Schizosaccharomyces pombe: one gene and its partners. Changing the gene in region 3 together with the main gene of any one other region gives a genetic interaction. Each region holds a gene or a part of one and is shown on either strand. Other genes may lie near its edges.

What was found. Genes that interact genetically often act in the same process or in processes that back each other up.
Region 1: mutations in pof10 (region 3) and SPOM_SPAC977.17 together harm fitness less than expected from each alone (positive genetic interaction), as found in Schizosaccharomyces pombe (one large-scale study listed by BioGRID).
Region 2: mutations in pof10 (region 3) and sib1 together harm fitness less than expected from each alone (positive genetic interaction), as found in Schizosaccharomyces pombe (one large-scale study listed by BioGRID).

What each region holds. Positions count from the first base shown.
Region 1 is NC_003424.3:64,203-70,353, forward strand, and holds SPOM_SPAC977.17 (MIP superfamily protein), read left to right. Parts: upstream 1-2,477; 5' UTR 2,478-2,940; coding exon 2,941-4,737; 3' UTR 4,738-5,619; downstream 5,620-6,151. Other genes in the region: dihydroxyacetone kinase Dak2, read right to left, coding at 702-2,477.
Region 2 is NC_003424.3:866,653-871,501, forward strand, and holds the start of sib1 (ferrichrome synthetase Sib1), read right to left. Parts: upstream 3,033-4,849; 5' UTR 2,876-3,032; coding exon 1-2,875. Other genes in the region: sib2 (ornithine N5 monooxygenase), read left to right, coding at 4,373-4,849. UniProt on the Schizosaccharomyces pombe protein: Involved in intracellular and extracellular ferrichrome siderophore biosynthesis.
Region 3 is NC_003423.3:2,923,865-2,928,334, reverse strand, and holds pof10 (F-box/WD repeat protein Pof10), read right to left. Parts: upstream 2,822-4,470; 5' UTR 2,773-2,821; coding exon 2,715-2,772; exon of another isoform or gene 2,661-2,714; coding exon 781-2,660; 3' UTR 545-780; downstream 1-544. Other genes in the region: acl1 (ATP citrate synthase subunit 1), read right to left, coding at 41-114, 162-321; rio2 (RIO family protein kinase), read right to left, coding at 3,134-4,102, 4,257-4,322. UniProt on the Schizosaccharomyces pombe protein: Probably recognizes and binds to some phosphorylated proteins and promotes their ubiquitination and degradation.

The sequences.
Region 1 (6,151 bases), on a different chromosome or scaffold from region 3:
TTTTCTAGATTTCAAATTTCTTCATTAAAACAAACATAATAAAAAATTAATCGCTTACTTTATTTGAAGAAAAATTACATTTTAGACAAAATAGTTTGTCCAAAATGTTTATTGGATAATAGCGTTCTCTGTCAACACATTTCACGTAATTTTCCGTCTAGTATTCAGCAAACATCTACCAAGTGCTAAGAATCAGAAAGGTTGGCTAAATGATCAGTTTATGATCGCCGACCGAGTAACATGTCAGTCTTTTGAAAAAAACCATACAGTGCATGTGATTGTCTACTTCGTTTTCGCTTTACAGATCAGATCTACATAGCATTTCGGCAGGTAAATTCGTTTAACAATTTCTGCATGTAATTCTCTTTTTTTGACGAATTGTAAGCTATAACTACTGCAATATTTTCACGTTCTCCAACGCCTCCTACAAATTAATACTAGACAATAGGACCAAAAGTGTAAATAATACATCAGTAATCATTTGATCCAAGCTTTTTTATTCGCAATATATTGATTCTTAAAAGAAAGTTCTAAAAAAGCCAGTGGATACAAAATTTAATCAAACATTTTGTAATTATGGTGAAAATTTTAAAAGAAAGCCAAAACAATTTTAAACTCAGGTTACATGATATGCCTTTCCAACATTAACTATGTGCATTATTAACATAGAGCCAAATTCTGAGGTAGTGATAAAAAACGCTTTAATGTTCGCTTGCCTCAACAATTGCGTTCAAAATAGCGGCCAATGCAAAGGCACCAGGATCCGGCAATCCTCCCTCACTATCAAGCTTATGAAGTTCTTCTTTAGCAACATAAGATGCTCTTCCAACGACAGCATCCATTTTTCTAGTTTGTTCAGAACCTTCAGTGGCAGCTTTCGCAGCAGCATCAAGTCCCTTACCCTCATTTAAAGTTTCAACAAATGGTTGAATAGCATCAATAAGCGTTCGGAATCCTTTACGGGCTCTAGTGTATTTGAAAAGAGCGTCAAGTGCATACTTGCTTGCAAACGCAAATGTATGCACGGATAATTCGGAATCGCCTGACTCATGAACTCCTTTGGCTAGCGCAGACAAATAAATCGAGTAAAGACCACCCGATGTACCTCCCATCGAATCCTCAACAATATAGGCCAAATCGTCAATACCATTTACACCATCATCCAATCGAATCGATTTATCATTAATAGCCTTTGTGATGGCCTCTCCACCATTCACAAGGGTTGTTCCACAATCACCATCTCCTGCAATCGTATCGTACCAAGTTGTCTTTGGCTCAAATTCATTGATAGCGTCAACGGCAGCTTTTAAAATTTTAGTAAACATCTTTGGGTCAGCCTTTACACCGCTGTGCTTCTCATTACGGGTATGCTCCAAAGCGGGAGCTGTTGGCACCTTGCCGTCAGCCAAAACCTCCCAGTCCTTTGCGTTATGATAAGAAACGTTCCATCCACTAGCGGTTGTTGGCAAGTCAAAATATTTGAAAATATCTGGAGTAGCCTTAGAAGCATTGACCAATGTAATTCCAAAACCAGGACCGTTCAGAGCGGTTACAAACGTACCAGACATGGTTCTTTTAGGAATGATACCTCGTTTGGCTAATTGTTCCGAAACTACTTCAGTAGCATATCCCAACTCTAAATTGGACATACCACCCATATTGTTTACTAGAAGGATAACATCGTCTTTTGAAGAAAACTCTACGAAACTATTGTCCGGGTTTTTCTCACCAAACAAAATTGAAAGCATCTCTGTAACTAGCTCGGGAATAGATGGAAGTGGTGATGATTTGAAGGTTCCAGGCTCGTTATGAATACCCATGCCAATCTCATACTCGTCTGGACCCAAGTTGGTTTCAAATTTGCGACCGGGAACGGCGCAGTGATCCAATGAAGCTGCTATGGTAGCAGCATTGTCAATCACTGATTGGGCCACTTGAGCAACTTGATGCAGATCCAATCCTAATGCTGCTGCAGATCCCGCAATTTTGTGTACTAGCACAGTGGCTCCTAAACCTCTTCTTCCTACGAGTGCACCTCTTTTTTTGCCTACAGAAACATCATCTCCTACGGCAACAAGCTCAACGTTCATTCCAGCTGCCTTGGCTCTCTCAGCTGCCAGGCCAAAATGAATAATATCGCCTGTATAATTCTTGACAATAATTAAAGTTCCCTTAGGAGAAGCAACAGCTTTGAGGGCAGAGTAAATTTGTTTAGTAGAGGGAGAAGCAAAAATGTCTCCACAAGCTACAGCGTCCAAGGCTCCATCACCAACAAAACCTGCATGTGTAGGCTCGTGCCCACTACCACCACCAGACACTAAAGTTACTTTAGGAAGATCACCAGAACCCGGGGCAGAAGCTGTCCTGTAAATCACACGATCATGTTCAATAACAGTAAGACCAGGGTTACTTCTAGCAAGTCCAAGCAAGTATGGGCGTACTATATGTCCGTCAGATACAAATTGTTTTACAGACATTTTTAATTGAAAAGAAACGTTCCCTTCCTGCTTTTTTATCTCATTCTTTACATTACTACTACCCCGCGCGCGGTGCGTTCTAAGATTTGCAAATATCCGGCATACCCGCCTAGCTGACCAATTGTTGATTACGGTTGAAGCGGCAGTTATGCGAGTGTGCAAACGCATTGTATAAACTTGTCCAATTCAGGGAAATTTATAACACATATTCTTAATATTCTGTAGATAAATTGATTTGCGCTTAAGATTCGTCACCAAATTTGTGCCGCCACTACACGTTGTCATCGACGGTTGCTTAACTTCGGTTATCTGGACCACTTGCATGAGTATATAATGCACTGTTTTACTCCACCTTATTCCCAAAGCTATTTCAAACCTTAATTTTGGTATTCCCGCCAGTACCCGCGTGCATTCAAAAAATTTCCATAAAAGCCAAGATTTGTCCCGTCTAATTCACTACTAAATGAGCGTCCCTTTACGCTTCTCGACACCATCATCATCTCCTTCAGCCTCAGATAATGAGAGCGTGCATGATGATGGTCCCACAACTGAATTAGACACTTTCAATACGACGGACGTGCCAAGAAGAGTCAATACCACTAAAGCTCGACAAATGCGTCCCAAAAATACCCTAAAAGTTGCGTTCTCTTCACCCAACCTCAAAGGCCTGGACAACACTGCCGACTCGGATTCTCAACCCTGGCTTGGTGGGTACCTTGCTGGAAGACTTGAAGATATATCCGGACAATCGCGTCGAAATTATGTTGATCCTTATTACGAAGAATTGAATGCTGGGAGGAGACCCAACAAACCGGTGTGGAGTTTGAATGGACCATTGCCACATGTTCTTGGTAACTCTGTGGTAGAAAAAATATCTCAAAAGAATCAGGAAGCTCGTTCTAGAGCAAATTCCAGGGTGAATTCCAGAGCAAATTCCAGAGCAAACTCCTCGGTCTCTTTGGCTGGTATGGATGGATCGCCCAATTGGAAACGGAAAATGAAGAGTGCTGTTTTTGGATCAAGAGTCAAGCTTAATGATGAAGAAGCTCAATTGCCGCGCAATAAATCTTCCGTTTCCATAGCGGAACAAGCCGCTTCAAGACCCAAAGTTAGTTTCTCGCTTCAAAGCAGCCGTCAACCATCCATTGCTGAGGAGCAACCCCAAACCCAGCGTAAGTCTTCCGCGATAACGGTAGAGCATGCGGAAAATGCTGAACCAGAGACCCCAAGAAATAATGTTAGTTTCTCTAGGAAACCGTCAATAGCTGAACAAGATTCATCTCAAGATATTACTATGCCTCCTAATGAAATTATTGCTGAAGAAAGTTTAGACTCGGGAAGCGATACTGAAACCCTGTATCTCAACTATTGGTGCAAGATTAGACACTTTTTTCGTGAGGGTTTTGCTGAGTTCCTGGGCACTTTGGTTTTGGTTGTGTTTGGTGTAGGCAGTAATTTGCAAGCTACCGTCACTAATGGAGCAGGTGGAAGCTTCGAATCCCTTTCTTTTGCTTGGGGATTTGGTTGCATGCTTGGCGTTTATATAGCTGGTGGAATCAGTGGTGGTCATGTCAATCCCGCTGTGACTATCTCATTAGCCATATTTCGCAAATTTCCTTGGTATAAAGTGCCAATCTACATTTTTTTCCAAATCTGGGGTGCATTCTTTGGAGGTGCACTTGCCTATGGTTACCATTGGAGTTCAATTACTGAATTTGAAGGAGGCAAAGATATTAGAACACCGGCAACAGGTGGTTGTTTGTACACCAATCCAAAACCATACGTCACTTGGAGAAACGCATTTTTCGATGAGTTTATTGGAACAGCCGTTTTGGTAGGATGTTTATTCGCCATTCTAGATGATACCAACTCTCCACCAACCCAGGGCATGACTGCTTTTATCGTTGGTTTGCTTATTGCAGCTATTGGTATGGCTCTTGGATATCAAACAAGTTTCACTCTGAATCCAGCTCGTGACTTGGGACCTCGTATGTTTGCATGGTGGATTGGCTATGGACCACATTCATTTCACCTGTATCATTGGTGGTGGACTTGGGGTGCTTGGGGCGGTACCATAGGAGGTGGTATTGCTGGAGGACTTATTTATGATTTAGTAATATTTACGGGCCCAGAGTCTCCACTTAATTATCCAGATAACGGGTTTATCGATAAAAAAGTGCATCAGATTACCGCAAAATTTGAGAAGGAAGAAGAGGTTGAAAACTTGGAAAAAACAGATTCTCCGATTGAGAATAATTGAACTCTTAATAATCTTTCATGTCACAAAATGCAGAAGATTGAAACCATTTACTTTTTATTTATTTATTCTTATTATTGTGGAGCAGCTTTTCTCTTTATACTAAGCATATATTAGCTTTTATATTATCTTTTGAGATGGACAAAGAGCTATGTCTTCCCCATTTTTTTTGTTTAATTTAAGCACTAGGGTTTTGTTGTGTTACTCTTTGTTGCTGTAAAAATTTTCAGCTTCTTAATGCTTGGGACGCCCTTATGTTGTTGCAATAGCGGCAGCTTCAATTAAAATTGATTTCATATCAAAAAAGACGATTTTCCCATTATATTGCGGTGTCTCGAATTTATTACTTCTTCCCTCAACTTACTTTGAAACCTAATTTTTGGATTCCTGTTGACTTCTTTTTTACGTTTTTGCGTATTACCGATTTTTCTTCCGCTTTGCGTAACACAATTTTCTTGCTCTCTTCTTTACTCTATGTACTGCGAAAGTAGTACGATTACCTTGTATGATTACTTATATTGCCCAACCCCCTTTTCAAGTTCAACTTTGACCGAAATTTTCTCTTCTCTTTTTTGCTATTTATTCATATATCTACCTGTAATTTTTAGTCCTTAAAACATTTGGTTTTTCAAAACAACAGATATTAAAAATGGCCGATATGACCATTACGTCATGAAATACTTGCTTCTCTATTTGGTTAACATACTTAGGATTTAGCTAAATTAGTTAAGATATCAAAAAAGTTTTAACTCATATCTAAAGATTTTTTTATTTAGAATAATTGGACGTTATGTTATGATATATAATTTTATGATTCACTTTTGTCGATTTTGTTAAAACATGTTTTGTTAATATTTAAAAGCTCAACGAGGATGAAATTTTTCTGTACATTTTAAACATAAAATACATTCTAGATATTGAATGTAATACCAATATTTTCATGAACACGCTGTTTAAAAAATATTTTTCGGTAACCCATTATTTGGTATTGTTTTCGTATAATAGTTAAATAATCAAACTTCTATAAAATTATAAAGCAAACCAACGACTGAAAGCATTTTGTAAAAAAACTTATAAAATCAGTGGGAACAGCTTGTAGATTCACTAATGTCATTATATAAACCGATTATTTTTCCAAAGGCATTATCAAAATTTATTTCGGAATGCAAGGATTCCCGTAAAACTAAAACCGTAGTTTATTAAATTTTAAAATTACTTTCATTTCCAGTATTTTTACGGTATGTATTTATAAAGTTCAAACTCACTTGGAAATTGAATGTCCGGAACCCTGCTTTTTATGTTTAATATCCGAGTTTAATATATTGGATATTCCAGTAGTCATTTTATGAATACCAAACCTCTGTTTTGGGAAGAGAAGAACTAGTATGCGATGGCAAATATTTTTTTTCTGTTTTAA
Region 2 (4,849 bases), on a different chromosome or scaffold from region 3:
CATAGTCTTCAAATTGTGGGACGATCGTAAGCCGTCTATCGTGAATCAGCATGAATAATTGCTGCATAATAATATCGATGGACCAACCATCGTATAAAGCGTGATGCCAGACAATGCTGAGATAACAGTTACTGGAGTCATAAATTACAGCAGCATCCAATGGACCACTGTTTAGAAATTGTTCATCAAATTCTTTGGTAGTAAAATGTTTTTGAATGCACTCTAGGCAATTCTTTGAATACGAATACAATGGAGGCTTCTTTTCAAGAATAAACCGAGTAAATCCCTCATTTTCGTCCAAAGCAAAGCCATTACTCAGTATAGTATGTGTATCTAGTAATTTCTCCCAGGCAAGCTTAACTTTTTCAGGTGAAGCTGCAATTTTAAAAACAGTGTGATTGAAATATAGATTTCCATTATTTGAGAACGATTCATAGAGCATTCCTTTTTGAAGTGGTGTGCATTTATTAAGAAAATTGTTCTTTGACTGAACTTCGTTGGGTTTGAGTAAAATTAAGCTCTCAGCTATTTTGAAAACCACTTTACTAGTCAAAACAATTGATGGATTTGCCTCAAAACCTAAGGACCTAATCTTACGCACGAAATAGACAATATCTAAAGAATCCAATCCCAAGTCAAAAATCGACGAAAACCGAGAAATAGATACAACAGAGTTAAATCTCTTTTCACATATTTCATGTAACACATTAGCGACTAACAGTTCAGATTGATTAAAGCTAGAGAAATCAGTAGAGTGTTTATCAGAAGCAGAAAATTGAATTTTCAATGCTTTGCGATCTGTTTTTCCACTTGCTAGTCTTGGAAACCCAGGTAAGCCAACGTATTTTGTTGGGCACATCCAACTAGCAAGGTGGGATTCAGCGTGCTTTCTCAATTTCATTTCGTCGCCGACATAAAAAGCAACCAAATTGTCGCCAATTTTTTCAATAGCCAAAGAATCGACGGAGGGTGCTAATTTTGATTCAATTTCTCCAATTTCAATACGCCTACCTCTTATTTTTATTTGCATATCACCAGCAATCCTCCCGAATATATATAATTTCCCATTTATTATACGGCCCAAATCGCCAGTTCGGTAAATTGACAGAGTTTGTTCGTTATATTGAACCTCAACAAAGGCCTTTGCATTAATCTCTGGTCGATTAATGTATCCACTAGACAACTGTGGGCCAGCAATACATACTTCTCCTAGAAATCCTTCATGCAACACATGCGGCTGAGAATCTTCAGTAGGAAGTGAAACAACGCATATTGTTGCTGATTGTAATGGCACGCCAACTAAATAAACCGTGGTTAACGCTTTGGAAGGATTAAGCGTAACATGTATAGCTGCTTCTGTCGGACCATAAGCATTTACTAAACGTTCTCCCCAAAAGTCAATGATTCTATTAGTGAGCAACTCACCGATCGTTATGAGCATTCGAACACTTGTAAATAATTCCTTATTTTCGTCAAGCGAGATAACATTAGCAACAGTGGGTGTTAGTTCCAAAGCAGCGATTTTATAATCATATATTAAATACTCCAAATTTCCGATCAAGTTCTGCCTTTTCGAAGTCACCAACGTCAGACCGTTATTCCAATTTCCAAAAATTTCAAAAACCGATACATCAAAGGTCACGTTGGCAAACTGCAACCAAGCATCACCACGTTCAAGCCCAAACATTGGATATAAATACCCGTGGGATTTGATAGAATTGGTAGCAGCTCGATGAGAGATTGCAACACCCTTGGGATTTCCAGTTGAACCAGATGTGTACAGAACATAAGCAACGGAATCAAGGCTTTCAGGAAAGGGAAAGGGGGGTATCTCATCATCGACTTTGATCTCCATTGACTCATTATACTCAGGAACCTTTAATATAATTGTGTTATTAGGAAATCGATTAACAAACTCTTCAGAGACAATAGCAAAAGACGCATCAACATCTTTACTGATAAAGTGGACCCTTTCAGTACGAGTTTCTACATCAATGGGACAATAAGCATTACCACTGTAGAGGATTGCAAGAATACCAACGAAAAGAGCAGGTGAATGAGATACCATAATAGGAACTACCTCATTCTTACATGTAACGAGTTTGGAAAGTTTTATTGCCAAAGAGTGAAGCTCGAGAAAAGAAAATGATCTAAAGGTATCCTCCAGATCATCGCCAATTTCATATATAAACTTCAAAGCATCTTGATAAGGGTGAGAAAGAGTATTATGATAAAAACACCCGTGTAAATAATTAGCAAGAGATGAAGAGTTTAAGCATAAATCGGAACAAGGAGAATTAAGGATGGAGAAGGGGAGGTCGTAATTAGTGATTTTTGAGTTAATCATGAAAAAAAGTAATCTTGCTAAATCATCATCAAACAGAGACGAATTCCATTTTAAAGTAAGGAAATTGGGAGAACAGACAAAGGCTATGTCGGCAACCACATCCATAGATCGAAAAGCGGTTATGTCTGAAAAATAAGATAAAAGTTGATTCAAACATGGTTTAGATGATTCAAACAAATCGTCAGCAAAGGATGGATCTCGACGCGAAGTGAAAACGGCAGAATGTAGTTTATGTAGGTGAAAAACTTCTAAGGGTTCTAGTTGGGAGTTTGTAGAATGATATAAGTAGCATTGGCAATTTTTAGGATTAGTATTAGGAATCACATCGTCTGAAACAGGAAAAAAAAAGAATGAAACTTCTCCACCAGTGATACCACAAAACAGCCAACTCCAAGCGTCCAAAAATGCAGAGTAAGGATGTGAAAAGGGAAGTGATAAAACGTGATAGGGGGCATCACTTGACGGCCGCATAGGACCTAATTGAGAAATTTGAGTTGAGAAAGCATCTTCTTCATTTGAATTCTTCATAAGTCTCAATCAAAAAATTTAGTGACACGGAAATATTTTATAACGAAGGTGTTGTTTCACAAATGTATCAATAGCTAAAGGATGTATTAATCCTTCATTAAAACACAGTAGCAGTAAGAACCAAGTAGAGGAATATCCTGCTAAAATATGGATGCTTGTAATATTACACCACCCTTGCTTAACGAAGTTTAGTTACGTGATTTGGCGCAGCCTTAAAGTTCGTTATAATGTGCAATCAAAAAGGCCTGTCTAAACAAGGCAATCAACAAACTGGAAGTTTTTCGGGTGACTATTTTCATCGGAGTTTGCTCTTTTAAGTGAATTTTTCAATACTTTCGAAAGATCATGAAAAGCCTCATTACTAATCTTTTCCGAAATTTAAAATGGAGAGATATCAAATGAAGTGCATGTGACCTAGATTTTCGCTTACAATATTGCCCACTTTACCACCTTATATTTATCAGATCGATAGAGATCGGATGAAGAGAGTCTAGAAGATCAACGCGGGGTGCCGGTCGGTAAACCTGAGTCCAAGTAAAGGGGACTTTTTGTAGTGGAAAACGAATGAATAGAGTTTTCCATTTTTTCTGATGTCTCATTTAATCGATGCCATTCTATTAAAAAAAATGTGTTGTAACACACTTACCACTTCCTTTTCGCTTTACTCCAGATTTGCTTCCGCATAGTTCAAAAAACTACGGACTTGCGAGATACAGAGCATGCGACCGCAGCATAGAGAAAGTGGATGAAAAGGGGAGGGAAAGAAGATGACAGAGAAATATAGACCTTGGTATGCGGTAATTTTAACGATTTTCAAATAATTTCATAACAAAGACTCGGTTTTCCGTAATACTAAATTTGGCAGTACACTTTTCACCTTCTGTTTATACCTAAGAATACAAAACGATGCTTAATTTTAGGCACTTCTTATTTTTTGTTTATTCGTATGTACGCGAGGAGAAAACATATACCTGGCGATGCTTTGTTTTAATTTCCCATAAAAAAAGAATTTCGCTCAAGAAAAACAGAATTTTCATTTCACCATCCTCTTTTTTTTAACGGTTGTTTATGCTTCGAGATTTTCTCGGATTTCACAAAATTTCCACCTTAACTGCAGTTACGTAAGGGCTTAGCGCTATGACGGAGAAAGCGCGACATATGTTATCGAAAGGGAATGGACTCCTTAAAATACATGTGCTCATATACTTCCATTATATAGGCTCATTTTCGCACGTATTGTGGGTTGGATAACAATATTTTAAAATCGACCAACAATCTTCTTGCAAACATTTGTAGTAGTGCTAGCCTAATTAATTTCAAAAAGCCGCGCATTCTAGAATATCGTGAAACTTGGTAAGTATGAAAAGGAAAAATATGTTTTTTCGGATAATGGAACCAAGTTTTCTAATATTATTGCTTGCTTAGGGAAAATCCCTAATTATCTAATTAATTCATTTCGTCCCTCTTTCTTAAAAAAAAACCTTTGGAAATAAGAAAATGACTGAACCTCTAGATTTAGCAATTATTGGATTTGGTCCCGCTAGTCTTTCTTTCCTTATTGCTTTGCATGACCATTCGGAGGAGCCCTTAAAGAACAAAAAAATCCGCGTGTTTGAAAAGTTGCCCACGTTTTCCTGGCATGAGGGTATGCTGATTCCTGGTTCAAACATGCAAATCTCATTTGTAAAGGATTTGGCAACGCCCAGGGATCCTACTTCTTACTTCACCTTTTTAAACTATCTACATTCGCATGGCCAGGAACGATTATCTGGTTTCCTTAACATGTCCACCCTAGAGCCATCTCGTTACGAATACCATGACTACTTATGCTGGGCAGCCAGCCATTTCTCCAAGTTTGTCGAGTACAACGCTAACATTAATAAACTCCATTACGATGCCGCAACTGATCTGTACATTGTGGGTCACGGTGATACTCAATGGCAAGCGAAAAACATCATTATTACTACGGGTTGT
Region 3 (4,470 bases):
TATTTGCAAACTAATAAGCATATTTATGCGGACAACTTACTTCTTCAATTGTACGATAAACAGGCAACAGAATTTCTTTAGTACCCCAATAAAGCTTGCTGATACTTTGACTTCCTAAGCACGCGTTAGTATTCAAATTTTTATATCAACGAAGCACATACCGAACGTATATATGATAGCAGCTACAGATGGAACAGTTCTACCACACATATAATCAAAGTCAAGCATTCCTTGAACAGCCTTTGTCTGCATGCCATACACAAAGGCTCTGGTGTCCTTGGAAAAAAGCTCATAAGAAGGTTTATCCACTGATCCCGCCATTGTTGTTCTTGTCACTGTGTTGGAGGAGGTAAGGAACGTTCGCTCATTGTTTTGCTGAACACTTTTTTACATTTAACGAGATGTTTGCGATAATTGAAATTTTGAAAATCAGATAACGCAATCAAGCGATACTTTTTATACATTCACTGATCAACGGTGCGTATGCCTTAAGAATATTTTTTTATGCTTTTATTAAGCAATAATATTATCCTTAAATAAGCATAGTAGGATATAAGAAAATACGTATTCCTAAAAGATTTTATTAACAAAATTAAAGTAACCTCTATTTTGAATTATAAAAATTCCCACCAAAATCCCTTGAATCCTCCTCCTTTTTTTACTTCGGAAGATTGATGAAGCATGTAATAAATAGATGAAGGACATGACTATATGCAGATGCAAAAATTTAACTAACGTATATTTTTCTACTTTTTCCCTCTTAGTAAACTACTAGGTGTATCACATTTCCATGAGTGATAATCGCATGGCTAGTTCAATCTGCTCTTGTTCGTTCAGTTCAGCAACATTCGCTTGTTCTTGCGGTGGCTCATGATTTGAACTTAAAGCATTTAATGACGATGTAGCTTGTTCATCGTTTTCTTTAAAATCTTCTTCTATTTTATCAACATCCATGGAGAGCTGAACCATTCTCTTAGCTTCCTCTTCTTGTGAAAGCATGGTAACATATGCTATGATTTCTTCTTCACTTAAACCAACCAAGCCCTCACCAAAATGCTGTTCAAATTTTTGCCGGGCTTCCATTTTTTCTCGTCTTTCCTGAGCAATTTGGTCCAAACCTAACATGATTTCTCTTTCGACTTCATTTTTTGAGTAGTCAGACGACTTCGACAGATTATCGTGTGTCACCGAAGGTCTCAAGGGTAAAACCTTGGACCTTTTATTAACAAAAGGTTTGGGAATTGTATAAGACCAAGATTTGACATGCTTGCTCATGGTGATCACACCTTTCAAACTTAACGGATTTGAGTCAAGCAGTATGCAATTAATTGGTTCTCTTCTAGCAGCATTCCTGGCACTCGCTATTTTTTTCAAAAAATTCCCAGTAACGGTATCGTATACTCCGCAATAGCCGCTAGCCGACCCTACTACCATTGCAACTTCATTCAAGTAAATATCGGTAATAGGAAAATTTGAGTATGCAGTAATAGTTCTAAGAATGGCCTTGTTAGGATCTTCAGTGCGAGTGTTTACAACATAAACCAAACCATTTTCATCACCAACAGCGAGCAGTCTTGCTCCTCTACCAGGAGTTGATTTTGACAACACACGATCGTTCGTATCTAAGGAGATTGAGGTTGGTTTTCCGTTGAGAGGAATTGAAGATGTTTGAACGCCGACATTATCGTTTTTCTCCAAAAATTCTTTAAATGAAACTCGACAAATACAATTTTTCGGTGCGCCCCTGGACAAGAAGGCAACACCGGCACAGCAATCTGCCGTCATCAGACAAGGAGGTTCCTCTTCATCAGTTAACACACATTTTCTGGACGATAAAAGTATAGGCTGCTCATTCTTTCGGGAGCGAGCATAGCCCGGTATTAAGTATAATTGATATGAGTTAAGTTCATAATTAAAAGTGTCAACGAGTAGCATTTTGTATTTCGGCCTGAAACACAAAGAAAGGATTTGTGAAGAACGGAATTGAAATGATTGAAGACTAACACCTGTTTTAACATCCCAGCAATGCACGGATCCATCATCTGATCCAGTAACCATACCGATTTCCCCAGTGGGGGGCAAATCACCGGTTAATGCATCAATGCATGTAACTGAATCAGCATGGGAATCCAGACAATAACGAAATTTTCGAGGAGTCTCGGCTTGACGTGACATCAAAATAACTCCAACGCGACCATCCATAAAACCAAAGCCAAAAATTTGTTTCCCCAATGTCATTGTAGATAATCCATGCGTAAAGCTGCCATCAGTACTAGCATGTAATAAAGACCTCTCAACCTTTCCAGTGGTAGGGTCGGAAACGGAGATTGTTCCAGTAAGCCAATTTCCTGAATAAAGCCTTCCTGAAGAAAAGTCGTAATAAAGGTTGGTCAATTGTCCAACGCGACAATCATACTGAACTGTTTGCCCTTTCCCTTTTTCATAAGCTCTAGTAATGGTAGAACGTAAAAGATATTCTTGCCGCCATGTTCCATTACCTAGTGGACTAAATATTTGCGACTGATCACCCGCAAAGTGATGAAAAAAAGCAGTACGCCAACTTAAATCATCGGATAATAACTTTTTCCAATATTTGCAAGTGCATTGAGCAGAAAGTAAAGAGCGAGGATCAAGAAACGAAAATATAATGATCAAAATTTCTAGAAAAAGTTAACAAAATCTCGAAAACTAAAATTGAATGTGTGAGAATTTACCTTTTGGCAGGTTTAAAACTGTTCTATTCGTATTATTTGAAGAATGATCCCGATTCATTCTCCTTAGGTTTGAGGATGTAAAATCCAAAGATGTTGGTTCCGATTTCATTGGTCTTGGCGTTTTGCCTTAGTATATAAAGTGGAACTTACTACGTGTACCAACGTATCGCTCAGAAAACGTCCTGTAATCATTAATTAACGAGCATTTTATATTCGAAAATTAATGTTTGCTTGTATCTTTTGATAGATTAATTAAAATGCTTTTATCTACATCCAAATTGAAATGAAAATTTAAAACAGTAACCAAAAAAGCTGAATATATTAACCCTATGCTAGTCCCTAACACCAGAAATACCTAATAAAATGAATAAATGATTTTACTGAACATGCAATTGTGCAATATGGTTTCATTAAAACCATCATTCCTTCTCTTCTTCTTCTTCTTCATAGTTATCAGATAAATCATCACCATTTTCTTTTCTTTTTTCTTCTTCTTGTCTATATTTTTCTAGTTCTTTAGATTGTTTCTTATTAAATCCTGAAGCCTCAATCATGATATCCAAATTATTTTCCTTTTCCATTTTCGATATGTCTTCGAAATTAGGAACATCACCTTTGTATTGATAGTTTTTTTCAAAATATTGCACAATGCACTGTACGTCTCTATCAAAATAAAATTGCGCATCAGGATGACTAGTAGATACCATTTGCGGAAAATCAATTACAACAGCTGTTCCATCTTCACGAACAATGATGTTAAATTCGTTGAAATCACCATGTATTAACCCATTCCTTGCAAATCGAACGATAATATCCATTAATGTCTGATATAGAGCAGGTGGATCACGAATGTCAGTAACAGCACGAAGAGGAAACGCATCAATCATTTCCATGATAATACAATGCCTGGAATGATCAATTGGAGCAGGTACAGGGAAACCATGCTCATGCAAGATCTTCATAAAAGCAAATTCTTTTGTGGCAGCTAATCGAGACAGATACTGCCATGATCCAGTTTTACGATTTCTCAAATAATCTCTATTGTTTTTTACACTCCGGAAAGATATACGCCCAAGCCTGTGGATTTTTAAGATATATTGCTTTCCTTTTTGGTCTCCTACGACGTAGACATCAGATTCTTTACCGACGCCTATTTGATTACCGACAGAGTAAACGGATGCTCTCTTTGACAAGGCCTTCAATGCCAAGTAATCATATCCCGCATATGTTAGTCGATAGCCCTCATAGCTGATATGCGGCACCTTTGCAATTAATTTATGCATAAACAAAACGGACAATGATTTCGTACAAGAGCCACCGCGTATTTTAGCAATTTGATTAATCATATTCGTTGGAACAACTTCATGATTACGGCTTCCCATTTCTACCTATAACTTGTTAGTTCGAATACTTATTGAAATCAAAATATAATTAATTGAATGCATCATATCGTATGTGTCAATAAGTAAGAAAATACAAAACATTGTACGATCAAAACGATTTAAGCTATATGACTGCCCAAAGATAAAATAAAGTGCTTACAGCTGTCAGAGTGCGAAAATCCTCGGCAGAAAGATATCTCATTGCTTTTATATTCAAATTTACCATCTTGACGAGCTTAACTTTTTTTCTTGCTAAAAATAAAAAAATAAGTAAGAATGCTAATCAAAGTTCAATTCCGACAATCACTAAATTGTGGTTCTCGTCAAAATGGTTGGTGTTTTGGCTAAGTGTGCTTAAAGTATTACTTGCCATC